Linked DNA regions of Callithrix jacchus. The protein of the gene in region 1 purifies or fractionates together with the protein of each later gene. This does not show direct contact. Links are inferred from orthologs where the notes say so. Each region holds a gene or a part of one and is shown in the gene's direction. Other genes may lie near its edges.

Region 1 (5,869 bases):
ACCAAAAATAGACTTCAACAAAAACTGGACATCATCAAAATTAACAACTTATGTACTCCAGAGGACACCATCAGAAAAGTGAAAGCACATCACAGAATGGGAGAAAATATTTGCAAATCATAAATCTGGTAAGGGTCTCGTATTCAGAATACATAAAGCACCTTACAACTTAGATTAGTTCCTAGGGCCAGCATAACAAAGTACCATATATGGGATGATACATTGTTTAAATTTTAACAATACACATTGCTGACCGGGTAGCTCATACCTGTGATCTTAGCACTGCGGGAGGATCACTTGAGTCCAGGGGTTCAAGACTAGCCTGGCAATATGGTGAAACCCATCTCTACCAAAAATATAAAATACTGGCTAGGCATGCCGGTGCATGCCTGTAGTCTCAGCTACTCAGTGGGGCTGAAGTGGGAGGATTGCTTGAGCCTGGGCAGTCAAGGCTGCAATGAGCTCTGATTGCACCACTATACTCCAGCCTGGGCAAAGGGCAAGACCCTGCCTCAAAACAAAATAAAACAGGTCAGGTGCCATGGCTCACACCTGTAATCCCAACACTTTGGAGGCCAAGGCAGGTGGATCACCTGAGGTCAGGAGTTCAAGACCAGCCTGGGCAACATGGTGAAACCGTGTCTCAACTAAAAATACAAAAATTAGCCGGGCTTGGTGGTGCGCTCCTGTAATCCCAGCTACTCAGGAGGCCAAGGCAGGAGAATTGCTTGAACCTGGGAGGTGGAGGTTGCAGTGAGCCGAGACTGCACCATTGCACTCCATCCTGGGTGACTGAGCAAGATTCTGTCTCAAAACCTAAACAAAACAAAACTAATATTTATTCTCTGATAGTTCTGGCGGCTCCTTCTGGAGAGTCTAAGGAAGAATCTGTTCTCACCTTTCTCCTGGGTTTTGGTGTTGCAGGCGCTTGTTTGCATTCCTTGGCTTGTAGGCATGTCACTCTGGTCTTCTCTCTCCACTGTCACACGTGGTCTTCCTCCCTGTCTCTGTCTTCACTTGGTGTTCTCCTCTCTTTGTGTGTCTTTTCTCTTCCTCTTACAAAGACACCAGTCATACTTAATGAAGAGCCCGTTCCACTCCAGCGTGACCTCATCTTAACTAATGACTTCTGCAAAGACTGTTTCCAAACAGGTCACATTCTGAGATACTGGGGGTAGGATTTCAACATGTCCTTATGGGGGGGGGGCACAATTCAACCCACAACACAACTCAGCGACAAAAAGACAGCCCCATTTTAAGACAGACAATAGATTTGAGTAGATTTGAATGGATTTGAATAGATTTCTAAAGGAGAGAAATTGGAACCCTCATACATTGCTGGTGGGAATATAAAATGGTGCAGCCTCTTTGGAAAACAGCTTGGCAATTCCTCAAGAAGGGAAACATAGAGTTACACATGACCCAGCAAGTCTACTCCTAAGTATATACCCAAGACAGTGAAACATATGGCCACACAAAAACTTCTGTATAAGTGATTGTAGCAGCACTATTAATAACAGACAAAAAGGAGAAAAAACCCAACGTCCATCAGCTGATGAGTGAATAAGCCAAATGTGGTGGATCGAGACAATGGAATATTATTTGGCAATAAAAAGGAATGAACACTTATACATGCTTATATAACATGGATGCACCTTCTTTCTCTTCCACTAAGAGAAAGAAGCCAGGCACAAAAGGTCACGTGTCATATGGTTCCATCCCTGTGAGACGTCCAGAACAGGCAGATCTACAGGGACCGACAGTAGATGAGTGGTTGCCTAGAGCTGGGAGCGGCCGGGGGAGATGACAACAGCTAATGGGTATGGGGTTTCCTTTTGGGGTGAGGAAAATTTGCTCAACTTAGATGGTAGCAATGATTGCACAACTCTGTGACTAAGCCAAAACGCTTGAATTGGACACTTTATTTATTTATTTTTAGAGATGCGGTCTCATTCTGTTGCCCCGGCTGTAAGCACTGGAGGGCAGTGGCACAATCACAGCTCACTGCAGCCTGGACCTCCCGGGCTCAAGCAATTCTCCCACCTCAGCTTCCTCAGTAGCTGAGACTACAGGTGTACCATCACGCCCCGCTAGCTATTTTCTGTAGAGATGGGTATTCACTATGTTGCCCAGGCTGGTATCAAACTCCTGGGCTCAGTTGATCCTCCCACCTTGGCCTCCCAAAAGCTGGGGTTACAGGTGTGAGCCAGCATGCCTGGCCAAATTATATACTTTAAGTGGGTTAATTTTAGGATATATGAGCCATATCTAAATAAAGACTAAAAAAAATTTTTTTAGGCTGGTCACAGTGGCTCACACCTGTAATCTCAGCACTTTGGGAGGCCAAGGCAGGTGGCTCACCTGAGATCAGGAGTTTGAGACCAGCCTGGCCAACATGGTGAAACCCCTTCTCTACTAAAAATACAAAAATTAGCTGGGCATGGTGGCAGGTGCCTATAATCCCAGCTACTCGGGAGGCTGAGGCAGGAGCATTGCTTGAACCCTAAAGGCAGAAGTTGCAGTGAGCCATGATTGCACTCCAGCCTGGGCAACAGAGCGAGACTCTGTCTCAAAAAAACAAAACAAATTTTTAAACAAACAACTTCTTTTCCAACAGAAAAACAAGAGCTGGATCTCGGAAGATGACTTCTACCGGCCTTCCCAGGAGCAGCCCCTGGAGAGTGCTTCAGACCACCCCATAGCTTCTTCCAGGGGGACTCGAGAGTCAAGGCCTGGTCTCCACAGGCATTTTTCTCAAGGACCAAGAAAAAGCTGTTCCCTGGGGGCATTAGACCAAGTGTGTGTGCCTTCCCCAGGAGGCAGGCAAACCAAGGCAGCCCCAGCACAGGGCCATAAGAGCTTCCGGGTGGTTCACCGCAGGCAGATAGGTAGGTGACCAGGAGGGTCCTGGGTGGGGCCCATCGGCAGGGACCAGGCCTTTCAGAAGGCAGCTGTGAAGTCCTGTTTTCCATTGCCAAAGGAGCAGTGTGTTCCACAGTATTATAAAACTTCATTGTAGAATGTTGTCATAATCGTGCTCAGTCATTCAGGGAAGCATTTCAGGAAAAGTACTATATTGTCTCAAAACTGCCTGCATGGATAAAAATATTGTTTCATCTGTCAAATAGGAAAATATTTTCCCTGAAAGCTACTCTGTGCAATTTATGATTATAGAGAACTCTTGATTCCACCTGTAGCTCAGAGTAAATCTGGCCCCATGAAGCCCCAGGTGTTTTAAATGGGCCTTCCAAAGGTCTTTACTCTCAGTAGTTGGTTTATGTAACAGCTCTGGGGGGTTTGATCAGATCTGCTATTTGTTTTGTTTGTTTGTTTCTTTGTTTTGAGATGGAATCTCCCTTTGTTGGCCAGGCTGGAGTGCAGTAGCACAGTCTTGGCCCACTGCAACCTCACCCTCCTGGGTTCAAGGGATTTTCCTGTCTCAGCCTCCTGAGCAGCTGGGATTAGAGGTGCCCACCACAATGCCTGGCTAATTTTTGTATTTTTGGTAGACACAGGGTTTTGCTGTGTTGGCCAGGCTATCTGCTATTTGCTTAATGTCCTCCAGTGCTTCCTTTTTTTTTTTTTTTTTTTTTTTGAGACAGAGTCTTGCTCCTTCACCCAGGTTGGAGTACAGTGGTATGATCTCAACTCACCGCAGCCTCCACGTCCCAGCTCAAGTGCCTCAGCCTCCCCAGGAGCTGGGATTATAGAAGTACACTGCCACACCCAGCTGATTTTTGTATTTCCAGTAGAGATAGGGTTTTGTCATGTTGGCCAGGCTGGTCTTGAACTCTTGGCCTCATGTGATCCACCCACCTTGGCCTTCCAAAGTGCTGGGATTACAGGTGTGAGCCGCTGCACCCAGCCTCTCCACTGCTTTTACAGCAAGGCCAGCTTGATCTCCACACACTGTGAAATTTCAGTAAGCCTTAAATAGCCATAACCAAATTGTTCTGTAACCCTCATGATGGGTTTCCTCTTCAATACAAACAAACAAAAAACGTACGCTCCAGAATCTGTCTCTCTCTCTCACTTTCTGTTTGCAGTGACTGGGCAGAGAATCCTGCCCAGCTTAGGGGGTCCTGGCATGGGTAGTCCTGGTGTGGGTCACGTGGGTAGAACACAATCTCTGGCTGGCTTCTGTTTTGTCTGTCAGCCTATGTGATGGCTGTATTCTCTAACCTGCCAACGAAGCTGTACTTCAGGTCTAGGCCATCAAGTTTCCTGAAGGATGGGAAACCCCTGTACAATAGTGTGAAATCTCAAAGCCTGTTCCAAACTGGCGGAGTGAGAATTGTATGTCCTTTGGACACCTTGGTTGTTGTCACACCCCAGGGAGCAGGGAGCTTTGGGCAGCCTGGGATACATAGGCACTCACCCACTCATTCATTCAGCAAATATTATTGAGCCTCTGTGCTATGCCAGGCACTGTTCTAGGTGCTGGGGACATAGCAGGAAGCAAAGCAATGTCCCTCTCTTCATGGGATTTAGATTCTATTAGGGGAGATGGGAAATAAAATTAACCAGTAAGCATAGTGTGTGTTCAGGTGGTAATAAGTGCTATGGAGGACAGTAAATCTCTCCCTCTCTGCGGAGGTAGAGTGGACCATTGCATATAAGATAGCCAGAGAAGCCCTCACCAATAAGGGGAGGTTTGAGGAGACTCGAGGGGAGGGAGGGAAGGAGGCATGAGTATGAACGTGTTTCAGGCAAGGAGAACAAATGCAAAGACCCTGCACCAGGGCTGCACTTGACTTGTCCAGGGACAGTGGAGACCAGAGTGGCAGAAGAGAGGAGATGGGAGCGGGGTGGCGAGCGATGAGGTCAACCTGATGAGGTCTGTGGGCCACCTGAAGCACTTTGGCTTCTGCCAAGGGAGATGGCAGCCACTGTGGAGTTTTGGGGCAGAGAGACATGCTCTAACTTCCCTTTAAACAGGTCATCGTGGCTCCTATGTTGAGGGACTATGGGAGAGGAGAGGAGGTTGACATCACGAGCCAGGCCAGAGATGACAGTGAGTGGGGTGTGGTTGGGAAAGGCGGGGATTCCAGATGTGTGTGGAAGGCAGAGCCAACAGGATTTGCTGATGTAGGCTGTGAAAGAAAGAAAACCTAGGGTAACACCAAGGTTTTTGGTGTTACCAAAACTCCAGGCACCAGGCTGGAGTGCAGTGGCACAATCTTAGTTCACTGCTCCCAAGTTCAAGCAATTCTGCCTCAGCCTCCCAAGTAGCTGGGACTACAGCTGCACACCACCACACCCAGCTAATTTTTGTATTTTTAGTAGAGACGGGGTTTCATCATGTTGGCCAGGATGATCTCGATCTCTTGACCTCGTGATCTACCCACCTCGGCCTCCCAAAGTGCTGGGATTACATGCTTGAGCCACCATGCCCGGCTGACACCAAGGTTTTTAGCCCAAGTAATTGGAAGGATGAATTTTGCCATTTGATGAGATAAGGACCGTTCAGGAAGAAGCAGGTTGGCAGCAGGAATTCATTCTGGGCCTGTCAGCTGAGATCCTAATGGACACGCATGGCGCAGATAGATAAATGAATCTGGATTTCAAGAGCAAGGGCCAGGCTGGAGATAAAAATTGGGAGCTAAAGCCTGAGAGCAGGTAGATTATTGAGAAAGTGGCATCCACAGAGAAGAGACCAGGACCTGGGACTGAGCTCTGGGCACTCCAATCTGAGAGGCCATGGGGAGGAGTGAGCCACAGAAACAGAAGGGTAGGAGTGAGGGCTGAGGAGTGGCCCTGGGGGTTGGCAACAAGGAGGACATCAGCCGTCTCAAAAGCAGCATCAGTAGAATGAGGGGACAGAAGCCTACTTGGAGCAGGTTCCAGAAGGAATGGGAGCAGGGAAACT
Region 2 (5,869 bases), on another chromosome or scaffold:
AGAACTTGTGGTTCATGCTGCAAACTCAAGTTTAGCCAGCGTGACTGTGGCAGGGGACCCCAGCACGTGTGGTGAGTGATAATGAGACTGAAATCCCCAGCAACCCAGGGCTTTTAAATTGGCTTAATTATCACCTTTCTGCCTCCTCTTGCCCATTCACTTGCTTATTTTTGCTCAGGCTCCTTTTTGAAACATGGGAATTCAACAAGATGGTAAACTCTGAATATTTATACTTTAGAAACATAAATTGGAAGTTTTTGAGAATGAATTTTTCATTGAGTATGTAGTTCCAGATTTTTTTTTTGAGACAGGGTCTCACTCTGTCACCCAGGATGGAGGCAGTGGTACAATCACAGCCTACTACAGCTGCTACCTCCCAGGCTCAAGCAATCGTTCCACGTCACTCTCCCAAGTAGCTGGGACCATAGGAACATGCCATCGTGCCCGGCTAAGTTTTTTGGGTTTTGGTATTGTTTTTGTAGAGACGGGGTCTCCCTGTGTTTTCCAGGCTGGCTTGGAACTTGGCCATGTAATTCCAGATTTTATCTTTCTTAGGAATTATATTCATTAATTGATTTTCATATTTCTGAAGTTACTTTTGGTTTAAGTTATTACATTTTGCTAAAAAATATCATCACCAAGCTAGGTTCGCTTTGTTCATAGACTATACTCAAGACTAAGGTTCAGGCCAGGCACAGTGACTCCCGCCTGTCATCTCAGCACTTTCAGAGGCTGAGGCAGGAGGATTGCTTGAGCCCAGAAGTTCTAGACCAGCCTGGGCAACACAGCAAGACACCGTCTCTACAAAACAACAGCTTCTTTTATTTTTTTTAACTAGCTGGACACAGTGGCATGTGCCTGTAATCCCAGCGACTCAGGAGGCTGAGGTGGGAGCCTAGGAGTTGGAGGCTGCAATGAGCTGTGATGGTGCCACTGCACTCCAGCCTCGCCAACAGAGAGAGACCCTGTCTCAAAATCAAAGACAAGACTGAGGTTCAACAGAAAAAAATGGTGTTGTTTTTTTTTTTCTGTTACATAGGAAACTTTTCCTCTTTATGGTACCCTCTAAACATTTTTTGTCTTAGTTTTTTACTCAGAAATTTGATGATCTATGTAATACTGTCTTTCACCAATACCTAGATGCCCACAAAACACTGACATAGTGTGTGAGCTGGTACACTGGAAGACAGACGCTGAGGCATCTGCTTCTCTAAAGAAGTGCTAATTCGGGAGACAGGCACCATGAGCTCTATATTTCAGTGACATGTACTTTTCTGTTTTTCTGTATAATGTTGGAGCTGTGTTTGGCCCGATTTATTTGTTGTCCATTCTGCCTTTTATAGTAATATAAATGAAATATCCTCTGAACAATACAAAAAACAGAGCACTTAAAAATAAAATATCAGCCGGGCGTGGGGGCTCACACCTGTAATTCTAACTCTTTGGGAGGCCAAGGTGGGTGGATCACTTGAGGTCAGGAGTTTGAGACCAGCCTGATCAATACAGCAAAACCCCATCTCTACTAAAAGTACAACAATTAGCTGGGCATGGTAGCAGGCACCTGTAATCCCAGCTACTCAGGAGGCTGAGGCAGGAGAATCACTTGAATCCTGGAGGGAGAGGTTCCAGTGAGCCAAGATAGCACCACTGCACTCCAGCCTGGGTGACAGAGCAAGACTCCCTCTCAAAAACATAAATAAAATAAATAAATACATAAATAAACCATCTTCCCTGCCTGAGGCACTGCTGTCTTGTTTCTTTCAGGAAAGACACAATGCAAAGACCGTGGGGGAGATCAAGCAGTTTGTTTCCCAGCTGCCGCACATGCAGGCAGCAAGGGGCTCGCTGGCAAACCATACCTCAATTGCAGAATTGATCAAAGATGTCACTAGTGAGTATCCTTTGTAAAGGTGGTTTCCATCTGGGGCTCTAGCACGCACAGCGTTTTACACCTGGGTCATCAACACCACGACGCCTCCTTGGAGTCAGCTCTGCCTTAATACCATGTGTTATTCCCTGTGTTAACTAAGTGTACATATGTTAACAGTTAAGAATTCCAGGCTGGGCACGGTGGCTCACACCTGTAATCCCAGCACTTTGGGAGGCTGAGGTGCGTAGATCACCTGAGGTCAGGAGTTTGAGACCACCGTGGCCAACATGGTGAAACCCTGTCTCTACTACAAATACAAAAATTAGCCAGGCGTGGTGATGCGTGTCTATAGTCCCAGCTACCAGGGAGGCTGAGGCAGGAGAATCGCTTGAACCCTGGAGGCAGAGGTTGCAGTGAGCTGAGATCACGCCACTGCACTCCAGCCTGGGCAACAGAGTGAGACTCCATCTCAAGAAAACAACAAACAAACAAAAAAAGGATGTTTCATTTGTTGACTGGGCATGGTGGCTCACGCCTGTAATCCCAGCATTTTGGGAGGCTGAGGCGGGCAGATCACTTGAGTCCAGGACTTGAAGACCAGCCTGGGCAACATGGTGAAACCACATCTCTACCAAAAATATAAAAATTAGCTGGGCATGTGGCACATGCCTGTAGTCTCAGCTACTCAGGAGTCTGAGACATGAGAATCACTTGAACCCAGGAGGTGGAGGTTGCAGTGAGCTGAGATTACATCACTGCACTCCAGCCTGGGTAAGTGAGACTCCATTTCAAAAAAAAAAAAAGAATGTTCCATTTGTTAACTGAATTTTTTTCATTATCATTTATATGAAAAATATTTGGAATGTAGAGAAGAGAAAAATATTTTAAGTTTGACATCATAATTTGAGATGGTTAATTTTTAAAATATAGCTTTTTCCTTTTACTTTTTTATTTTGAGAAAGAGTTTCACTCTTGTTGCCCAGGCTGGAGTGCAGTGATGCCATCTCGGCTCACCGCAACCTCCGCCTCCTGGGTTCAAGCGATTCTCCTGCCTCAGCCTCCCAAGTAGCTGGGATTACAGGCATGTGCCACCATGCCCAGCTAATTTTGTATTTTTGGTCTAGATGGGATTTCACCATGTTGGTCAGGTTGGTCTTGAATTCCTGACCTCAGGTGATCCGCCTGCCTCAGCCTTCCAAATTGCTGGGATTATAGGCGTGAAACACGGCGCTTGGCTGCTTTTTTCCTTTTTGAAGGATTACTTACTTGGCAAAGGGTGATTTTTTGTTGTTGTTGTTCTTTCCTTGAATACTCTATTCAGAATTGGTACAGAGAGTATATGTTGAGTATTTTGAAGAGCTCAGAAAATGTCTATTAAAGCAGACATGAGTTTGTTCATTACAACACAGGGCTGTAAAAGCTGAGTAAGAGGTTGTTTCATGAAGTATACTTTTGAATCTTAACTAAAACAGTGTTGGAAAGTCAGTCCTTTGTTTTCCTGTTAGTAGAAGTGGAAACCAGTTGAAATTGGGTTGAACCTAATGATGAAAATGAAATGCTCTTGAGGAATTAGCTTTTATTGATACTGACGCTCATTCTGGGGTCTGTACTGAAATCCTAAGGGTACAAAGGAGGGCCGTTGTCAACTCTATCTCAATGTAACTTAGGAGTACCGAGGCCTAGGGTTTTTCATGTTTCCTAGAAGATTTTCTTCAGATGATGACTTGAACTTATTGCTTGCTTGCTTTTTTTGCATGATGTCTGGTTTCTTTCCTTTTTTCTTTCTTTCTTTTGAGACAGTGTCTTGCTCTGTTGCCCAGGCTAGAATGCAGTGGCATGATCTTAGCTCACTGTAACCTCTGCCTCCCAGGTTCAAGTGATTCTCGCCTCAGCCTCCCGAGTAGCTGGGATTACAGGTGTGCACCACCACAGCTGGCTAATTTTTGTATTTTTGGTAGAGATGGGATTTGGCCATGTTGGTCAGGCTGGTCTTGAACTCCTGGCCTGAAGTGATCCACCCACCTCAGACTCCCAAAGTTCTGAGATTACAGGTTTGAGCTACCATGCCCCACCTGTCTAGTTTCTGAACCATGCTCTGTGTATAAAAGCATGCCACTCCAGTAAGTTAACATTTAATTTCTAAGTTGCAAATTTGCTAATTAATTCATTTTAGCTTCTGAAGACTTCTTTGATAAATTAACCGTGGAACAGGAGTTTATGTCTGGAATAGACACCGATAAGGTATGTGGACAAAAAAAACCTCTTTAACAAGTAGTTAAAAGCTTAGTAAACATCAAATTATAGCCAGAAAAGCAACTGCTTTGATTCCCATGCCTTGCCTAAATTTTTTTTTGTGTGACAGAGTCTCACTCTGTTGCCCAGGCTGGAGTGCAGTGGCACAATCTCGGCTCACTGCAACCTCTGCCTCCCGGGGTCAAGTGATTCTCCTGCCTCAGCCTCCCGAGTAGCTGGGATTACAGGCATGTGCCACCCCGCCTGGCTAATTTTTTTTTTTTTTTTTTTTTTTTTTTTTTTAACTATCTCCAGTAATGGGTATAAGCAAATTTTTGTATTTTTAGTAGAGACGGGGTTTTACCGTTTTGGCCAGGCTGGTCTCAAACTCCTGACTTCAGGTGATCTGCCCATCTCGGCCTTCCAAAGTGCTGGGATTACAGGCGTGAGCCTCTGTGCCCAGCTGCCTAAATATTTTTAAAAACAAATACAAAATGTGCAAGTGTAGATTTTATCATGTAACAGATATTTACCATTATTCTGTGCAAGACTCTTTCTGCCATACCTGGCAAGATGAGACCTAGCCCTGAAATCAAATATTTTTAAATTAAGATATTTGCTCTTTTGAGAGAGTTTCTTACATAATTCCTTTAAATATTTAACTCTGTTAACAAATTTTAAATCATTAACTTTATGAAAATTCCTAACATTAAACAATTACTGGTACTTTCTGCTAGATAAATTGTGGATATTATTGAAACGGACTAGGTGTCTGGTAGCCTCTCAGGAGCGTAGAGGCAGGTGGGTCCAGACAGACATTTGGAGTAACCAGCTGTATTCTCTGTGGCCTTGGGCTCCGGTGACTTGGCCTAATCACTTGTAGGGTGTGTGTGTGTGTGTGTGTGTGTGCACCTGCATGCTAGCCCAGGTGTGCATGTGGCTGGGGCTAGGAGAGCTATTTCAGAGGGGTTAGGGATTGTGAAAAAATAACTCATTTTCCCACATATCTCCTTTATTGGACTTTGAAAAATAATAGTAAACATCAAGTTCTTTTAAGTTCCCAAACCGGATAGTGTGTGTGTGTGTGTGTGTGTGTACACGTACGTACGTGTGTGTATGTGTGTACACGTACGTACGTGTGTGTGTGTATATATATGTATATGTATGCTACTTTATTTCTAGGTCAACAATTACATTGAGGATTGTATTGCCCAAAAGCACTCATTGATCAAGGTGTTGAGACTAGTTTGCCTGCAATCCGTGTGTAATAGTGGGCTCAAACAAAAAGTTTTGGATTATTACAAAAGAGAGATTCTCCAGGTAAGTATATTTTTAAATTATTAATTTGCCAAGAGGGACAGCATCTTTTTAAAAAATACTTCATGGGCCAGGCACAGAGGCTTATGCCTGTAATCTCAGCACTTTTGGAGGGCGAAACAGGTAGATCACTTGAGGTCAGGGGTTTGAGACCAGCCTGGCCAACATGGTGAAACCCTGTCTCTACTAAAAATACAAAAATTAGCCAGGCGTGATGGTGTGCACCTGTAGTCCCAGCTATTTGGGAGGCTGAGCCAGAATAATCGCTTGAATTCAGGAGGCGAGGTTACAGTGTGCCAAGATCACACCACTGCACTCCAGGCTGGGTGACACAGTGAGATTCTGTCTCAAAAAATAATAAAAAATAAAATTTTTTTAAAAAATAAAAAATTCAAAGCTGCCATTTTGATATATTGTTACCACTGTTTTTTAAATTGTTTAACACCTAGA
Region 3 (5,869 bases), on another chromosome or scaffold:
TACCCATAGGAAAGCCCTTTAAAGTTAACACACTGCTTTCAGGGAATAGCTGCCCCTTTCCTTTTGCAGTGCTAGCTCACTATGAACAAGCTAAATAAACTTTCACTTTCTCTTTGCTATTATGTCTGGTGATTTCTCTTGATTTCTGTCATGGAAGATGACAAGAACTCAGGGCACTGTTAACAATTTCAATTAAATTATTAAAAAATTTAAAGGTCACAGTTAGCCATAGGACTGTACTTGTTGTTGATGTTTTGATAAATATGGCCTTTATTTTTGTAAATTCAAAGTTAAATTAATTTTGTTAACTTTCTAGGAACCCCTCAACTTGTTGACTTTTCTTTTTGTTGTTTTACTTTGCCTTTGTGTATCTGAGTTCCGGATGATGATTCCACCTAAAGGTAGCAGAGTTCTTACGTAATTCTGCTTGTAGGAGTCTATCTGAAGGAAGCCATTTGAAATACAGAAAAGGCCGGGTGCAGTGGCTCACACCTATAATCCCAGCACTTTGGGAGGCTGAGGCGGGTGGATCACGAGGTCAAGAGATCAAGACCATCCTGGTCAACAAGGTGAAACCCCGTCTCTACTAAAAATACAAAAATTAGCTGGGCCTGGTGATGCACGCCTGTAGTCCCAGCCACTCGAGAGGCTGAGGCAGGAGAATTGTTTGAACCCAGGAGACAGAGGTTGCAGTGAGCCAAAATCGTGCCATTGCACTCCAGTCTGGGTAACAACAGCGAAATTCCGTCTCAAAAAAAAAAAGAAAAGAAAAATACAGAAAAAGCTCCCTATGCTAATGTTAATTGCTGAGTTGTTTATAATTATAGGAAATTGACAGCAATATTTTCTTAAAAATAGGAATGGGTGGTTCACTAATTATGTTAGGCAGCAGTAAAGTCCAGTGAACCTGCTCTCCCATGTCACACCATCTGCTGTTGCCAGAGTGCCCTGGTGTGTGATGGGTAGAGGGGAGGGGCGTGGGAGAATGTGGAGAGTGTCACATAAGCAGTGTAGGATTTCAGCTCCAGAAAACCCCTCCATGCAGATGACTAGAACTCATTCCTGTGTGGGAGGATGCCAAGTGTCCTTTTGTTTGTTTGTTTGTGTTTGTTTAAGAATGGGGTCATTTCTCCACTTTCAGTGATGCATACATATTCAGTGTAGAACATTGAAGAACGAGGAGAGCACAGAGATGAGTATCACCAGCAGCCCCGAATCTGTTTAGTCTACATGTGTGGACTTTGTTTATTGTATCTGGGGAAGGGAGAAGAGCATTTAATGCCCTAACCTGCTGAGAGGCAGTGGAATCATTAGAGATAAATTTGTCTTTTTTGCTCTTCATACTTATATTTGAGTTGTCATCATATTTGTCCAGCTCTGTTTGCGTACCTGTTACGGATCTAGGGCAGTGAGGATACCCAGCCTTGGTCTTAAACCTAGCATGGCCATGAATGATGTGGCCAGCTTGGAGCTGCTCAGTAGTACCTGGTTTAATTGTTACTCTGGTGTGTGTTCTCATTGTCTTTCTCTTGGTCTCTTTCTGTCACAGTTTTTCATTTGTTTAGTTTTTTAATTGAAGTATAATATAAATGAAATAAAACATACTAATCTTTTATATTGTTTAGGCAAACTTGTCATACAGTAAAATACATGGATTGAACTGTATCATTCGTGAGTAATCACCTCACCTCCCTGTATTTCCATTGCACTCAGAAAGTTCCCAGAGTACTTAAGTCTTAACGTTTATAGCTCAACTTTTATACACCACCTACATGTGACCACTACTTGGATCAAGATATAGGAAATTTCTAGTACCCTGGAGGTTGGACTCAGTGTCACCCGTTCATAGACACATACTCACATATACTATTTGTGAGGATTGTTTTGGATACTCTGGTGCTGAAATTTGCTTCCTGATGTCTGGTGTCACTTGTCTTTGTGGGTGACTCCACAATCTAGCCCATTTCCTCTGGCACCTCGGCATACACACTCATGGTGCTCTGCCAGCATTCTCCCAAGGAATAAATGTTTTGTCTCTCACAGATATGGGACACAGCAGGACAGGAACGGTTCCAGTCTCTTGGTGTGGCCTTCTACAGAGGTGCGGACTGCTGCGTTCTGGTATTTGACGTGACTGCCCCCAACACATTCAAAACCCTAGATAGCTGGAGAGATGAGTTTCTCATCCAGGCCAGTCCCCGAGATCCTGAAAATTTCCCCTTCGTTGTGTTGGGAAACAAGATTGACCTCGAAAACAGACAAGTAAGTACCAATGATGATAGGCATTGTCACACTCACCTGCTCCCCAGGGGCCTTGTGAATTTGGAGAGTTCCCTGCTAAGCTCACAGGTCTGTAGGAGGTGCTGGTGGAAGTCTTTTTACCCTATTCGAGCCCTTCAGGCCAGCGGCCTTTAAGGACCAGGACCCACTCACCTGGGTTAATTAAGTCCCCATGCTGCCCCCAACTGGCTGTGACTTTGGACCATTTTCTTGGCTCTCTGAGCTTCAGTTCCCTTTCTGAACTTTGAAAGAGGGAATTCGATTTTGTTATTCTTAGTAGTCGCCTCCCAGCACCTCCAGGCCATGCCTGGATCTCTGTGTGTGCAGAATATTGCTTTGGGCTTTGAGTGAAATTGCTGTACTGTACTTTCAAATATCATTTCTGTTGGAAACATAGACTCTTTGATTAATTACAACAAGGTTTATTTCTGACCATGGATCTCTTTTTCTCCCCTTCCTAAGTGACTTAGTCCTTATCTCTTGGCTGAAATTGGGCTAGGGGTTGGGGAAGGAATGAGAACGTGTGAGTGGCATGGGTGACATCACACTAGCAGTAATGGGGAAGGGACTATACATCTTAAGACCAAGCTGCTGAGCAATTCCTGTTCTGGGATCTCTGAGGTCCCAGTAAACACTCTTCATTTCTTCCTGGACTGGCTTCTTACTCCATTCACAAATGGCTTTTAAGGTTTGTGAAAGGAGCGTCAGAAGGTATGGGCTATAGACCGAGACAGGCTTTGAGCTGTCTTGCTGAATCCTAGCTATCCTGAACATAGCCAGCAGGGCGAGTTTGGATGGGTCTGCAGATCTCCTCCAATACCCTCTTTCTCTAAGTCTTTGTCCTCACCTGTACCACCTATAGACAAGGGGCCATGACACTTCCTGGGGAGGATGGAGTCACTGCTGGCGGCTTCTGTCATGAGCCTGTGTGCACCCTGCTTCTTTCAGGTGGCCACAAAGCGGGCACAGGCCTGGTGCTACAGCAAAAACAACATTCCCTACTTTGAGACCAGTGCCAAGGAGGCCATCAACGTGGAGCAGGCGTTCCAGACAATTGCACGGAATGCACTTAAACAGGTGGGTCTCCCACAGCTGATCAGCCCCTCTGGTGATGCCTGACCACTGACCCAGCTCATGCCTGGCCTCCTGTCCTTAATCTTCTTCCCTAGCCTACTCTTTTCTATATAGCCAGAAAACCCTATGTGGTCATCTGGGAAGGTTATGACATGTTCTGCTTAAGCTTCCAGAAATCCCACTTTGTGGGGAATAATCTAAAAGAGGCAGAGGCCATGAAGACTGAGGCTGCCCTTTTTTTACTAGGCTTTTTCTTGTTTTCTTTTCATGCAATTGGGAGAGCAGGTCACTGGGAGACCCCTATCAGATTGCTGCTTCTATTTAAGGAGGAAGTAAACTTGAATACGAATCCCAGCTCTGCTCCCTACCAATCATTATATCTAGTTTGGGCTTAAAAAAAAAAATATTATGGCTGGGTGCGATGGCTCACACCTGTAATCCCAGCCCTTTGGAGGCTGAGGTGGGCAGATAACTTCAGGTCAGGAGTTCAAGAGCAGCCTGGCCAACATGGTGAAACCCCATTTCCACTAAAAAATCCAAAAAATTAGCCAGGCCTGGTGGCAGGCACCAGGAATCCCAGCTACTTGGGAGGCTGAGGCAGGAGAATTGTTTCAACCCAGGCAGTGGAGATTGCAGTGAGCCAAGATCACCACTGCACTCCAGCCTGGGTGACAGCAAGACTCTGTCTCAAAAAAAAAAAATATATATATATATATATATGAACTTCTACCCCCTCACCTGAAAAATGGGAATACCTGCTTTTGCAGAGTGATTATGGAGATTAAATGGGACAGACTCTTTCAGCTCTCACATACTGACAGGTAACTTTTTTCCCTAGGAACAGTTAAGTAAACAACACAAGGAAGAAAACACAGGAAAACTATTCAAGGGCTACAGTATATAGAATTTCTGATTTACTGTTTCTGTGATTAGATATAACCACTCATGTGAGTTGAAAGTCTGTTTTGATGTACAACTGTGTTAGGGGCAGTGTTGAGTTAAGGCAGGTCACGAGGCATCATCAGACAGTATCTAGGGGTGGTCAGAGGTATGGTGGATTTGGGGGAATATAGAGAACACTTGAAGCGTGTGGTGGCTGTGAAGGGCAAGGCAGATTCTGCTGACTCCAGGAAGCTGGCTGCATGGAGGTAATGGCTTTCGGTAGGGCAGAGAGTTGTTTGGAATGGTTGCTGCAAGGACCAGGGAAATTCTGGCATAGGTGGGGTCTGCACTAAGTGTTCCAGAATAAAAGGGACAGACCTCTACCCAGTGAGGAAATTGTTCCACCCAGAATGCCAGGAGAGCCCTCAAGTTGTAAGGAGCAGACCAAGATGCAGACTTGGCTACTCTAACCCCCATATAATAAACTGTTATGTTTTTCTTAATGTTCATATAAAGGAATGGAAATCCAAATACATGTGAGAAAGTGCTTCCCACCTGTTTCCCTGTTGCCTGGCATCAGAGTTTTTCTCCTCCATCACTTCTGTCCCTGTTGTCTTATAATAATGCTTTTATTTTTAGAGCTAGCCTCTAAGGAGTTAAATTTTTAGATTGGAAGATGGGTTTTATTGTAAGTTAGGGTGCCAGGTTGTTTTCCCCAGGTGGAGTAACATTTCAGCAGTGTGGGCTTGCTTTCTCCTACCTCCTTGCCAGCAAGCAATAGGTGTCACCTGTCACTCTGCTGACATTGCCAACCTTTGGGTGAGTAAATAGCCACCATCGTGGCTGAGTCCCTCTGAGTCCCTGTCCCTGGGGCTTAGCCATTTGGATTTTCTCTGCTACACACAGCGAGCACATAGCACACAGCACACAGTTGGGCATCTCTCAGTTCTGATGAACTGTTGGTGAATTGAAGTTAACTCTACTTACATTTCAAGTGACTTTACCAACTCTGTCGTCTTTTTAAGTCCTTTGACTAGGAAAAAAATAACTTTTTGTTTGGGTATTCATTTTAAATTGCTGTGTTTCTTATGTCTACATCTGATTTGTCTCTAATTCAGCTGGAATTTATTTTGGCTTATGGCAGGTAAGAGGGACTCACCTTTTCTCTCAGACAGCTCAGCCAGTTGTTTGAAATCAGTGGACTGTTATGTAAGGGATTTCCCTCTCTGAATAGACTGGCCATGCTAAATGCTCATATGTGCTGGGATCTATTTCTAGTCTCTGCAGTCTGTTCTGGTGATGTCTGTGTTCCCTCTTGAGGACTGTCTTGATTTGACTACCTGATGAGGCAAGTTTCCCCTTGCCACATTCTTCTTCTTTTTTTTTTTTTGAGACAGAGTCTTGCTCTGTCGCCCAGACTGGAGTGCAGTGGCATGATCTTGGCTCACTGCAACCTCCACCTCCCAGGTTCAAGCAGTTCTCCTACCTAAGCTTCCCAAGTAGCTGGGAATACAGGCATCTGTCACCATGCCCAGCTAATTTTGGTATTTTTTAGTAGAGACGGGGTTTTACCATGTTGGCCAGGCTGGTCTTGAACTCCTGACCTCGTGATCTGCCCGCTTCGGCCTCCTAA
Region 4 (5,869 bases), on another chromosome or scaffold:
AGTATTTGTCTTTCTGTGACTGCCTTATTTACTTTAGCATAATGCCCTTAAGGTCCATGCCTTCCTTTTTAAAGCTGAATAATATTCCACTGTATTGATATACCACATTTGGTTTATCCATTCATCTGTCCATGGGTGCTTGGGTTGCTTTTACCTTTTGGCTACTGTGTGTAATGCTGCTTATGAACATGCATGTGCAAATATCTCCTTGAAGTCCTGATTTTCAATTGTTTTGAATGTATACCCAGAAATGGGATTCCTGGACCATATGGTGATTCTATTTTTAATTTTCTGAGGAACCACCATACTGGTTCCATAGCGGCTGCACCATTTTATAGTCCCACCAACAGTGCACAAGTGTTCCAATTTTTCGATATTCTCATCAACACATGTTCTTTTCTTTCTTTCTTCCTTTTTTTAAATAGTATACATCCTAAAGGGGTATAAGGTGATATCTCACTGTGGTTTTTTTACTAATTCTTGATATAGTATGGAATATAGTCATAGAAAATATTTCTGTTGTCTCTGAGTTAGTGAAATTATGTTTAATGTAGGATACAACCTATTTTACAATTCATTGTAAGGTAAAGCAGATCCTTATTCAGTCTTGTTCTGAGATTTTGTGTTTTTAAAGATGTGTTTTGTGTTGCTTATTTTCTAAATTCCTTCCGTTTATGTTAAATCTCCTTCACCATACAGCTTCTCAAATGTTGGAAGACTTGATTTGTGATGATTTTATGGTTTTGTCAGCTCTGCTTTTTACATACTGACTTCTTTAGCACTGTGTGGAATTGTTCTGCTTCATCCAGCATTTTAAGCTTTGGATTGTCACATGCCTGTCAATAAGTACAGAAAAATATAGTGGATATATTTAAAGTTATTTCCAAAAGAGAGAGAAAGAATGAAGAAAAGGAGTATAACACATAATTTGTACTGGATCAGCAAGGGTAAATTCTGGGTCATGGATAGATGAATGAAAGGTTTTTTTTTTAGATGTGTATAATAGAGGAAAACCATTTTAAGACTTGACAGCAAGTATGAAAGTTCATTTGTGCAGCTATAACAGAATACCACAGACTAGGTAATTTTTAAAAACTAGAATTTGTTTCCCCACAGATTTGGAGGCTTGGAAGTCCCAGATCAGGGTGCCAGCATCTGGTGTCTGGTAAGGGCCTTCTTGATGCTCCTTCACATAATGGAAGGAGAAGGGTAAGAGAAAGATAAGCTCTTTGTTCTCACATGGTAGATGAGAGAGAACTCACTCCCATAAGCCCTTTTTATAGTGCATTAATCCATAGATGAGGGTGGAGCCTCAGGACCTAAACAGCTCCCGTTAGGCCCCACCTTCCAATACTTTTGCACTGGGAATGATTAAGTATCCAACGTATGAGTTTGAGAGGGAACAAAAACAATCAAACCATAGCAGCCATCAGGTGGAACATCACACCTTTTCTCCGTGAAAATTTCTAGCAGAAACAACATTGTCTAGAAATGTGGAACTCCTCTTCCCTTAGAGTAATTTTAGGGAAAGTAGAATTTACCTTTTTTTTCCCCCTCTTTCTAAGAGAATGAAAGAAGAGGTTCTGTTGCCTGTTTGTCCCACTGATGCACTGTAGGGGCAGCTGCAACTGTCTTTTGTCTGGCGTGGCTTTGTGACTGATGAAAAAAGAGCAAGTGAAACTTTTATCCAGTTATTTGGGCAATAAGGCAGGATTGTGATTAGGCGACTGTCAGCAAAGCTGATGCATCTCTTTTGTGCAAGAGATTCTCTTACCATAAGTCAAGCAAAATATTTTTTTTTCTTTTTTTAGAATCAGGATCTCACTCTGTCACCCGTGCTAGAGTGCAGTGGTGCAGTTGTGGCTCATTGCAGCCTCAAACTCCGGGCTTAAAGAATCTTCCCACCTCAGCCTCTGAGTAGCTGAGACTACAGGTGTGTGCCACCGCACCTAATTTTTTTTAAAAATGTTTTTGTTGAGGCAATGTCTCACTAAGTTGCCTAGGCTGGTCTCAAACTCCAGGTTTATGCGATCTTCCCACCTCAACCTCCCAGGTTGCTGGGATTACAGACCAATTTTGTTTTCTTTCTGAATCACAGTGTAAGATCCCGGCTTGATATTTGACTAGTGGACTTTTTGTTTATCCATTTAAATACATCTTAAATAAGCAGCTGAAACACTCCATAAACCCAAAGCCTTAGACCAGAACAACTGCTTTATATGTTCTCCTTCACAGAGCACCAGCCTCCCTACATCATCGCAGTATTGCCTCGATATGTGGAGATCCGAACATTTGAACCAAGGCTTCTGGTCCAAAGCATTGAATTGCAAAGGCCTCGTTTCATTACCTCAGGAGGGTAAGGAATTTCTTTCTTTACCATGGCTGCATATTTTCCCAAAGTTGTAAAGTCACCTGTGTCATCACAAAACCTGTGATCTTTTGCTAATATTTTTACTCTTACCTCCAGATCAAACATTATCTATGTGGCTAGCAATCATTTTGTTTGGAGACTCATCCCTGTCCCCATGGCAACCCAAATCCAACAGCTTCTCCAGGACAAGCAATTTGAATTGGCTCTGCAGCTTGCAGTAAGTCTTGTTTCTGACTAGTCTGCCTTCTTTATTGTTATTGAAAATAGGTGATTTGGGTTTCAGTTTTCATATTTATTTTGGATTAGTAGAATAAGGACATAGCTGAAAGTCAGGGGCCTTGGATACTGGATCTGACTCCACCATAAAATATCTATGTAACTCTAAGTGATTTTGCTTTTTCACTTTATCTGTCAAATGTAGAATGAATGTCAATTATAGTAATAGTACTTTGTAGAATTAATGTGAGAGGCCAGGAGTGGTGGCTTGTGCCTGTAATCCCAGCACTTTGGGAGGTCAACGCAGGCGGATCACCTGAGGTCAGGAGTTCAAAACCAGCTTGGCCAACATGGCAAAATGCTGTCTCTACTGAAACTACAAAAATTAGCTGGGTGTAGTGTCAGGCACCTGTAATCCCAGCTACTTGGGAAGCTGAGACAGGAGAATTGCTTGAACCTGGGAAGGTAGAGGTTACATTGAGCTAAGATCATGCCACTGTACTCCAACCTGGGTGACATAGCGAGACTCCATCTCAAAAAAAAAAGACTAGGAGACTAAAATATTTAATATATATTGCATGGTCTTGAAAAATTAAACATAATGCAGACATTAAAGTAAAGTAACCATCATAAATGTGCTGTTACAGTCAAGTTGAATGCAACAACTAGAGGATCCCTAAAAATTCCTTTCAACAGTACATTCCTATGTTTGGATAAGTAGGCTTTCTTTTGATATTTTGAAACTACTTCCAGTTATTGTATTCAGCCAGGCTGCAGTCTTATATTTATGATGCTTACTCTGATATATGCAAGGGATCTTGTTCACAGCAAAACAGTGACCACCTCTCGTTCCAAAGATGCTCTCATTTTGAAGATTGACGTCAGAGTCTGTATCTTGTTCTTTTAAACATCCTCAGTTATGATTATTGTCATCTGTAGGGGATGGATTTGCTTTTAGGAAACAACCAAAAGTCATTCTGAGCCTAACCTAGTTGTTAAGCCAGATATTGCTACTATATGTATTTTTTTGTTTTTTGGTTTTTTTTTTTTTTGAGACAGGATCTCTGTCACCCAGGCTGGAGTGCAGTGATGCAGTCTTGGCTCACTGCAGCCTCAACCTCCTGGTCTCAAGCATCTCAGTCTCCTGTGTTGTTGGAACCACAAGCATATACCACCACACCCAGTTGATTCTTTTTATTTTTTGTAGAAATTGGGTCTCACTTCATTTCCCAGGCTAGTCTTGAACTCCTGAGCTAAGTGATCCTCCCATCTCAGCCTCCCAAAGTGCTGGGATTATAGATGTGAGCCACTATGCCCAGCCTCAGATAGTGGTACTTTAAAGTAGAGATTTTTATGAAGATAATAGTAATGAAACTGAATTTCTAGAGTGTCTTGTAAACTATTTCTGAAAGGAAAGCAATTTTTTAGAATGCAGGTACTTCTAGTTACCTATGGTGGCTACTCGTGAAGAACATTTACTTTGGATATATATGTTTTGGACTTAAAAATCCTATCTTAATAGACATAGTTAATATTTAATAAAGATGATTGCTTTCTTGGAGCACTGAATTTCAGCATCTTACTGTTTTTTTTTTTTTGTAGTCATGCATTGTTCTGTATTATTTTATTTTCATTAAAAAAAAAAAACACATGAATACCCATGTACTTACCATCCTACCCAAGAACCATATCTTTCATAACTTGTTATAATCCTTCCAATCCCATCCCTTTGTCTCTCCTCTAGATGTAATCATTATCCTAAATTTTGTATTTATCATGACCTTACTCTTACATATATATTTAAAATATATATTTAATATGTAAATATGTTTAATATGTATATTATATAATATATATTTGAAATATGTAATAAAGTCCTAGGATCAAGGGGGAAAAAAGAAAAATATATATATTTAATGATTAAACATATGTTTAATTTTTTACATGTATTTAATATATAGAAGTAATGTATTTAGTTTTTGAACTTTATAAAAAGGTTATGTGATATGAAACTCCTTAGTCTATTTCTTTTAGCAGGAAGGTCTCAGAGTCTTTTCAGTGATCTTCGTAGAAAATGGAAGTGGGTTCCCATTTTTTCTTCTCTTTTCTAGGCTCATACTTATTTTGTGCTCTGCCCTTTTTATGACCAAAAAAGGTTGATTGACATCATCTTAGTCCAGGAGGAAGCTATCTTTTTTTTTTTTTTTTTTTAGACAGAGCCTCAGGCTGGAGTACAGTGGCGTGATCTTGGCTCACTGTGACTTCCACCTCCCGGGTTCAAGTGATCTTCCTGCCTCAGCCTCCTGAGTAGCTGGGACTACAGGTGCATGCCATCACACTCAGCTAATTTTTTATTTTTAGTAGAGATGGGGTTAACCATGTTGGCCAGGCTGGTCTTGAACTCCTCACCTCAGGTCATCCGCCTGCCTCAGCTTCCCAAAGTGCTGGAATTACAGGTGTGAACCACCACACCTGGCCGTAACCTTTTATTTAAATAGAAAAGCAAACATACATGGAACTTTCAGAGGGAAATTACATACTAAACTTTAGCATTGGTAAGTCCTGGAGTCAAGTGTCAGAGAGGGACAGTTCACTGTGGGCTGGAAAAGGCAGCCTAAGGTTGGACACTTGAGTTGACCCTTTAAGAATATGCTAGATTAGGATCAAGAGCAGGAAATGGAGCATTACAGATGGAGAGGAAGTGAAGGAAGTGAAAATTGTGGCCAATGTCTATCACATTTGGAGCCTGTCCTAATTGGAGAAGGTGTGGCCTAAGTGTTTGGGACTCAGCTAGATGAGGAAGCTGGCACCAGGTTTTGGAAGCCTTTGAAGCACCAAGCAGGAGAGCTGAGACCAGGGACAGCCACGTGTTGATGGCTTGGACTAGGGTGGCAGCAATAGGAAAAGAAAAGAAGGAGGGAAATTGAGAGACATTTTGAAAGAAAATCTAGGTTTTGTAAAGATTGGGTAAAGAGGTATAAGGGGAAAATAGGTTATGAGGAAGACACAAAGCTGATAGAAGCTCAATTTATTTAGCTTTTACTGAGAATAGACCTTTCCCAACTGTGCCAGCTATGCCAGATGTCTTTCATTCCTTGAGTACACTGTGCTCCCTCTACCATCTTACAGCTTTGCACATGTGCTGTCTCCCTTGCCAGGGACTACATGCTCCTCTTCCCCTCCCTCTGCTCAGCTGCGCTTAGCTAACTCCAACTCATTCTTTTTTTTTTTTTGAAATGGAGTTTCGGTCTTTATCACCCATGCTGGAATGGAGTGGTGTGA
Region 5 (5,869 bases), on another chromosome or scaffold:
CTGCACTCCAGCCTGGCGACAGAGTGAGACTCCATTTCAAATAATAAATAGAATGACACCTGACTTATGCACACCTCCTGGGGCCTCTCTCAGTGTCCTACTAATACCTAAGAAAACCCAGCAAAGGGTGGAAATTCACACTGTGCCCCACAGACTGGGTATGAAAGATTAAAGGTCACCTGCCCCTGCTGTGTACCCACTTAAAAGCAGGGGAGGGGTCGGGTGCAGTGGCTCAAGCCTGTAATCCCAGCACTTTGGGAGGCCGAGGCGGGTGGATCACGAGGTCAAGAGATCGACACCATCCTGGTCAACATGGTGAAACCCCGTCTCTACTTAAAATACAAAAAATTAGTTAGGCATGGTGGCACATGCCTGTAGTCCCAGCCCCTCAGGAGGCTGAGGCAAGAGAATTGCCTGGACCCAGGAGGCGGAGATTGCGGTGAGCCGAGATCGCGCCATTGCACTCCAGCCTGGGTAACAAGAGCAAAACTCTGTCTCAAGAAAAAAAAAAAAAAAAAAAGCAGGGGAGGATCTTGGTCCCCATTTTGCCTCCACTTCTGAAATACAACATTGGTACCAGCCAGAAATCGGCAACATCCCTTCACTGTGTGCTTTTGACTTCTGAGGCTGCTAAAGCATTGTGATGTTTCTTGTCATTCACCAGGCAGGAAGTGGGGGGAAGTAGTAAAAAGCCTACAGAGGAATAAGAAAAATGTGTGAAGAAACAAAGGCTACAATGCTGGGATGAAGAATAAGAAAAGGAATCTTGTGACAGAATATGAGTATCAGTGGTCATTTTTCAATTGTCAGAGCTCCAAGGAGTCACCAAATTTGAAGTTTATATAGTCAGTTAATACCCCACACAGACACACACACACACACACATTCATAGCACTGTGCTCAATGGTTTGGATTGGATTTGGAAAGTAAAAGACAGATTGCTGCCTGATTTAGGATAGAGATTACATCTGTTTAGTTTATTATCTGTACCTAGTACCCCGTATGTGGTAGAGACCCAGTACTTATTTGTACAGTAAATAGATGAATTTATGAAATAAATGGATGATCTGGGTAAAGATATGGAGAATGGAATGAACACATGATGTAGGAGCCAAACTCTGCCTGAGAGAATCTGTTTAAGGAATCCCTCTAAAGTAACAATATGGCTAGTTAATATAGGGCCTTTTTTGTCAGACTTCGAAATTTAATTTTAATTATACAAATGCTACAGGGCCAGTGTATGGTTGGAAGAAATGATGCACAGGGTAATGAGTGGACCCTGGCTGGCCAGGTCAGCCTAGTAGTAGTGGTTTGGCGGGAATAGGGTACTGAGAGCAAGAGAACCAGTGAGTGTCCCTTTAGAGTGTTTCAAGCATGGCAGCTTTTGGAATCCCCTGTAGAGTGTCCCTTCACTTCTCAGATTTGAGTGTATTTAAGGTGGCTTTTCTTTTAAAATGTGTGCATTAGATTCTGCTTCGTGAAGGCTGCAAGAAGATTCTCGTAGCTGACTCTTTGTCCTTACTGAAGAAAATGCACCGAACTCAAATGAAAGGCGTGCTTGTTGATGGTGGGTAAAATTGAAATAATCACATAGAACTGCAGACCCTGCTTTCAGAAATGGCCGAGCGGACATAAACAGGGTATAATTCAAAGTGTGTGTGTTTTCTTACAGAGGAGAACATCTGTGAATCATGCCTTTCTCCTATTCTTCCATCAGGTAAGAAGGTTTCCCCAAAAAATGTCCCAAATATGTGTTTGAATGATGAGTGGAGTCAAAATTTTGGAATTAGCCAACTGCTGTTTATAAAAGTATATAATTTCAGAATGACCCAGTGGAGGGAAGTGTGGCTCACATCCCGCTCAGTGGAATGCAGGTGTAGCCATTGCTTAGAGCTGAGTTTCTCAAGCTCTAGGGTCAGTCAGCGTCACCTGGCAGGCTTGTTGGAACCCAGATCGCTGGCCCAGTCAGGCTCCCTAGAGACTCTGGTTCCAGACTTCCAAGGCAGGATTTGAGAATGTACATTTCTGACAAGTTCCCAGGTAATGTTGATGCCACTGGTTCAGGGGCCATTGTTTTAGAACTGCTAGTCTAGGGTAAAACAAAATGAAAACTAGCCATCAGCATTTAAATTTCAAGGTAGAAGAACCACGTATGTGTCTGGGGAAAAAGTATTTACAGGTAGCATTCCCTTTTCTTTAATCTTTTTCTCTGCTATTGGTTCTACATGCCCAAGTCATCTCACATTTCAATAGAAACAATATATATATATATATATCTCCATCTGTAATGAAAAGCCTCTTAAGGTTTATTATGACATAAGAAATTTGCCTAATTCAAAAGCAGAAATTCACAAAGCATCATTTTCAGGATGCTAACAAGTGCTTTTGAAATAGAAATTCAGCATAACAAAATATTAAAAGACTTAGGTGGCCTCATGTTTACTTAGCATTAAAGGATTATTTCATGGGGCAGTGCATGAGAAGTTGTTCTATTAGGTTCTTTGCTAGAGGAAATAGATTTGGATTTTTGAGTGCTTCTCTTAAAAACTTCAGTGAGCTCAGGTGAAGAAGTGAGCTTCCATAGCATTTCAGCCAGTGTTTCAGCAAAAATGAACCGCATGCATTCCCACTCTACAGTTAGATTAAATTCCAACTGTAATCTGCTGATGACCCGAAATCTTACCAAAAATAAGCTGGCCACACAGAGCAGGAACAGATGAGGAGATCTCCCCAAGCAGAAGTACAGTAAAATGCAAGGTCACAGCCTGGGCTTTTAAGCCAGGTCTGCCTCTGAAGTGGTGTGTGGTCTTGGCAAAGGCAGCAGGTGGACTGGGAAAGCATTTTAATGAAGCCACAGACTCAACTTCAGCTGTGGTGTGTAATGACTACAGGGGTTAGGGGCGCACAGACACATACACATGCTGGTTTTCAAGATAAAGGTTACTGCAGTTGTCCTCAGTGTAGTCTTGGTAACTGACACAGAAGCTAAGCAAGTAACCTGTGAATCAAGGAGCAACACGATTGTAATACCTGTTTTGTGTTTGATCAAAGCACCCCTCAGGAATGCCTTTGTAAATAAGCCACTCTCTAAAGGCGGCTTACTGCTGGAAAGTTAACTGCAGCTGGACTCTCAGTCAGGATTGGTTTAAAATGATCTTGCTTGTTGCATTGAGTTCTCCTCCTTTATCTGCCTTCCTCACCAGATGCAGCTAAGCCCTTCAGCGTGGTCGTCTTCCATTGCCGGCATATGTTCCACAAGGAGTGCCTGCCCATGCCCAGCATGGTAAGTTGGCAGCTTGGCACCTATCAACTATAGGGAAATTAACACAATTAGAGGAATGTGCTCAAAACTATAACGCATCATTCTTATGGCTCCATGAGTTAAAAAAAATTATAGATTCATATCACATAACAAATTAATCTAGTTTTCAAATGCAAAAATATTTAGAAAGGCTTTGTATACTATAGTAAACAGAAAAGCGTACCCATTTGAAGGAATGTATTCAAGCCAAATGAGCAGCTGTGGGGCTGTTAATTTGGTGATGAGCAACAACAGGAGAGAGCCATCCTCTATGTGATGTGTTTCTCAGCCGGATTCGTGTTCCATGAGGCTATCATGTTTTTAGTGTCATGTTCCCCCAGGTCATGTTAGACTTACTCTGCTGTTGAGTGTCCTTTGAGTTATAGACTCACAGCTGATCTAGGCTGAATCTTACATTAACTGGAAATAAACTCCAGAGAAAGGAGTGGCATTTCATTACTTCCTCTCTACCCCCTGACTAATGCTACCCTAGTATTTCCGAATATGAGAGCAGAAAAAGGAGATCATTTTTTAAATCTGTGTTTTTAAATTGCATTTTTAGAACTCTGCTGCACAGTTCTGCAACATCTGCACTGCTAAGAACCGTGGACCAGGAAGTGCAATTTTGGAGATGAAAACGTAGCTCGTTTCTGCTTCACAGTCTCCTCGTCATCGCTCTTTTTGAGACTGTTTCCGCAACAGCACAAGCATTTGTTGACACTCATGCTGTTAAAAGATTTGTTTATGTTTAGATTATGCTCAAAAACAGTTTCTTTATCCCTGTACTAGTGGCTTCTCTGCATTGACAAAGGATTTGGGGTTCTCCCATGCTTTGAAATTTTGGGGTCCATAGTCAATATTTTATTATTTATTTGTTTGGCTCATTGTTTATATAGTAATGGAAACATAAGTCTAGGAGTTAGAACTGACTTTTTTAGACCTTAGAAAAACCATTTAACCATAAGATGAACTACTGAGAATTGTCCCAGCTGCCTGAAAGCGTCACCAACTGAGGTTATACTGCAAGCTACTACCTACACCTTGGACCTGTTTCCCTGTGCTCTGCCAGCCACCATTCTTGCATTCTGGGTTTGACTTTTTTCTATGTCATCAACTATGGTTATCCTCTAAATAGGCATTTAACGAAACATTGTACAAATTGTCACTCATTCGGTGACATCTGGGAATACTATTAGCAGGCTGATGTCCTGCACCTTTATGTGTACTAATCACCTGTTCTGTGTGCCCTGACAACTGGCAGAGTATCTGGCCATGGCAAACACTCAACATTTGTTGATTGAATAAATGTTAGCTCTTCTCATTGTGAAGGACTCACTTTTACTGGGATGAACAGATGCAGTTAAGAATTCTGGCACCCTTGTAAGGAAGAGAAGAGAGTTCAGCGCCTTTGAGTCTGAGCACTTGTGACTAGGGTTTGCCAGGAGGGAGGAAATCAGTGACCCTGTGAAAACTGAGGGTGTCTCAGGAACAGTGGACCGCCTGATACTGAAGGATGGGCTAATGATGTTTCCTCTTGCCTCCTCTGAAGCCTCCATTAGTTGTATTCCTAGGTATTTTATTCTCTTTGTAGCAATTGTGAATAGCAGTTCATTCTTGATTTGGCTCTCTTTAAGTCTGTTATTGGTGTATAGGAATGCTTGTGATTTTTGCACACTGATTTTGTATCCCGAGACTTTGCTGAAGTTGCTTATCAGTTTCAGGAGATTTTGGGCCGAGACAATGGGGTCTTCTAAATATGCAATCATGTCGTCTGCAAATAGAGACAATTTGACTTCCTCTTTTCCTATTTGAATATGCTTTATGTCTTTTTCTTGCCTGATTGCTCTGGCTAGAACTTCCAGTACTATATTGAATAGGAGTGGTGAGAGAGGGCATCCTTGTCTAGTGCCGGATTTCAAAGGGAACGCTTCCAGTTCTTGCCCATTCAGTACGATATTGGCTGTGGGTTTGTTGTAAATAGCTTTTATTATTCTGAGATACGTTCCGTCAATAGTTTATTGAGAGTTTTTAGCATAAAGCGCTGTTGAATTTTGTCAAAGGCCTTCTCTGCGTCTATTGAGATAATCATGTGGTTTTTGTCTTTGGTTCTGTTTATGTGGTGAATTATGTTTATAGACTTCTGTATGTTGAACCAGCCTTGCCCTCAGAGAACAAAGCACATCACAGAGGAAGAAAAGTCAAACTCGTGATCGTGTCTTACAGTTATTGGCTTCATCCGTCTTGGGATGCATGGCCATCCTCTAATGAGTGTAAAAGTGCGCAAAACTCATCCTCATTGTTCCTCCTCTCTTAGTCCTATAAATGGGAAGAAATATAGCTTTCCCCTTCTGTCTTTTTTGGGGAGACCAGCCCAATTTAAAATATAGGTGCTAGTGAGTACTGACAGCATGCCAGCTCCGGAAGTCGCCCAGCCATTCCCATGAGCAGCAGTTCATTTTATTGTCACAGCATCACCAGGAAGAAGATCTGATAGGCCTTGGTTTACAGATGAAGAAATAAAAATGTAGAGATGTTGTCGAGGTCACAGAGTTGACTATCTAACTTCAG

Evidence for each region.
Region 2: the proteins of PLEKHM1 (region 1) and VPS33A purify together in Homo sapiens (affinity purification with western blotting; 3 studies listed by BioGRID and IntAct, with this or other methods). This does not show direct contact. The link is inferred for Callithrix jacchus from reciprocal best matches to the Homo sapiens genes PLEKHM1 and VPS33A.
Region 3: the proteins of PLEKHM1 (region 1) and RAB7A purify together in Homo sapiens (affinity purification with western blotting; 5 studies listed by BioGRID and IntAct, with this or other methods). This does not show direct contact. The link is inferred for Callithrix jacchus from reciprocal best matches to the Homo sapiens genes PLEKHM1 and RAB7A.
Region 4: the proteins of PLEKHM1 (region 1) and VPS39 purify together in Homo sapiens (co-immunoprecipitation; 3 studies listed by BioGRID and IntAct, with this or other methods). This does not show direct contact. The link is inferred for Callithrix jacchus from reciprocal best matches to the Homo sapiens genes PLEKHM1 and VPS39.
Region 5: the proteins of PLEKHM1 (region 1) and VPS41 purify together in Homo sapiens (affinity purification with western blotting; 4 studies listed by BioGRID and IntAct, with this or other methods). This does not show direct contact. The link is inferred for Callithrix jacchus from reciprocal best matches to the Homo sapiens genes PLEKHM1 and VPS41.

What each region holds. Positions count from the first base shown.
Region 1 is NC_133506.1:85,836,035-85,841,903, reverse strand, and holds part of PLEKHM1 (pleckstrin homology domain-containing family M member 1), read left to right. Parts: intron 1-2,617; coding exon 2,618-2,888; intron 2,889-5,869. UniProt on the Homo sapiens protein: Acts as a multivalent adapter protein that regulates Rab7-dependent and HOPS complex-dependent fusion events in the endolysosomal system and couples autophagic and the endocytic trafficking pathways.
Region 2 is NC_133510.1:125,448,992-125,454,860, reverse strand, and holds part of VPS33A (vacuolar protein sorting-associated protein 33A), read left to right. Parts: intron 1-1,764; coding exon 1,765-1,891; intron 1,892-4,043; coding exon 4,044-4,111; intron 4,112-5,284; coding exon 5,285-5,422; intron 5,423-5,869.
Region 3 is NC_133516.1:73,345,564-73,351,432, reverse strand, and holds part of RAB7A (ras-related protein Rab-7a), read left to right. Parts: intron 1-2,043; coding exon 2,044-2,262; intron 2,263-3,228; coding exon 3,229-3,357; intron 3,358-5,869.
Region 4 is NC_133509.1:29,783,298-29,789,166, reverse strand, and holds part of VPS39 (vam6/Vps39-like protein), read left to right. Parts: intron 1-2,235; coding exon 2,236-2,356; intron 2,357-2,467; coding exon 2,468-2,588; intron 2,589-5,869. UniProt on the Homo sapiens protein: Regulator of TGF-beta/activin signaling, inhibiting SMAD3- and activating SMAD2-dependent transcription.
Region 5 is NC_133512.1:7,207,683-7,213,551, reverse strand, and holds the end of VPS41 (vacuolar protein sorting-associated protein 41 homolog), read left to right. Parts: intron 1-1,467; coding exon 1,468-1,567; intron 1,568-1,672; coding exon 1,673-1,717; intron 1,718-3,203; coding exon 3,204-3,283; intron 3,284-3,863; coding exon 3,864-3,944; 3' UTR 3,945-4,625; downstream 4,626-5,869. UniProt on the Homo sapiens protein: Plays a role in vesicle-mediated protein trafficking to lysosomal compartments including the endocytic membrane transport and autophagic pathways. Acts as a component of the HOPS endosomal tethering complex.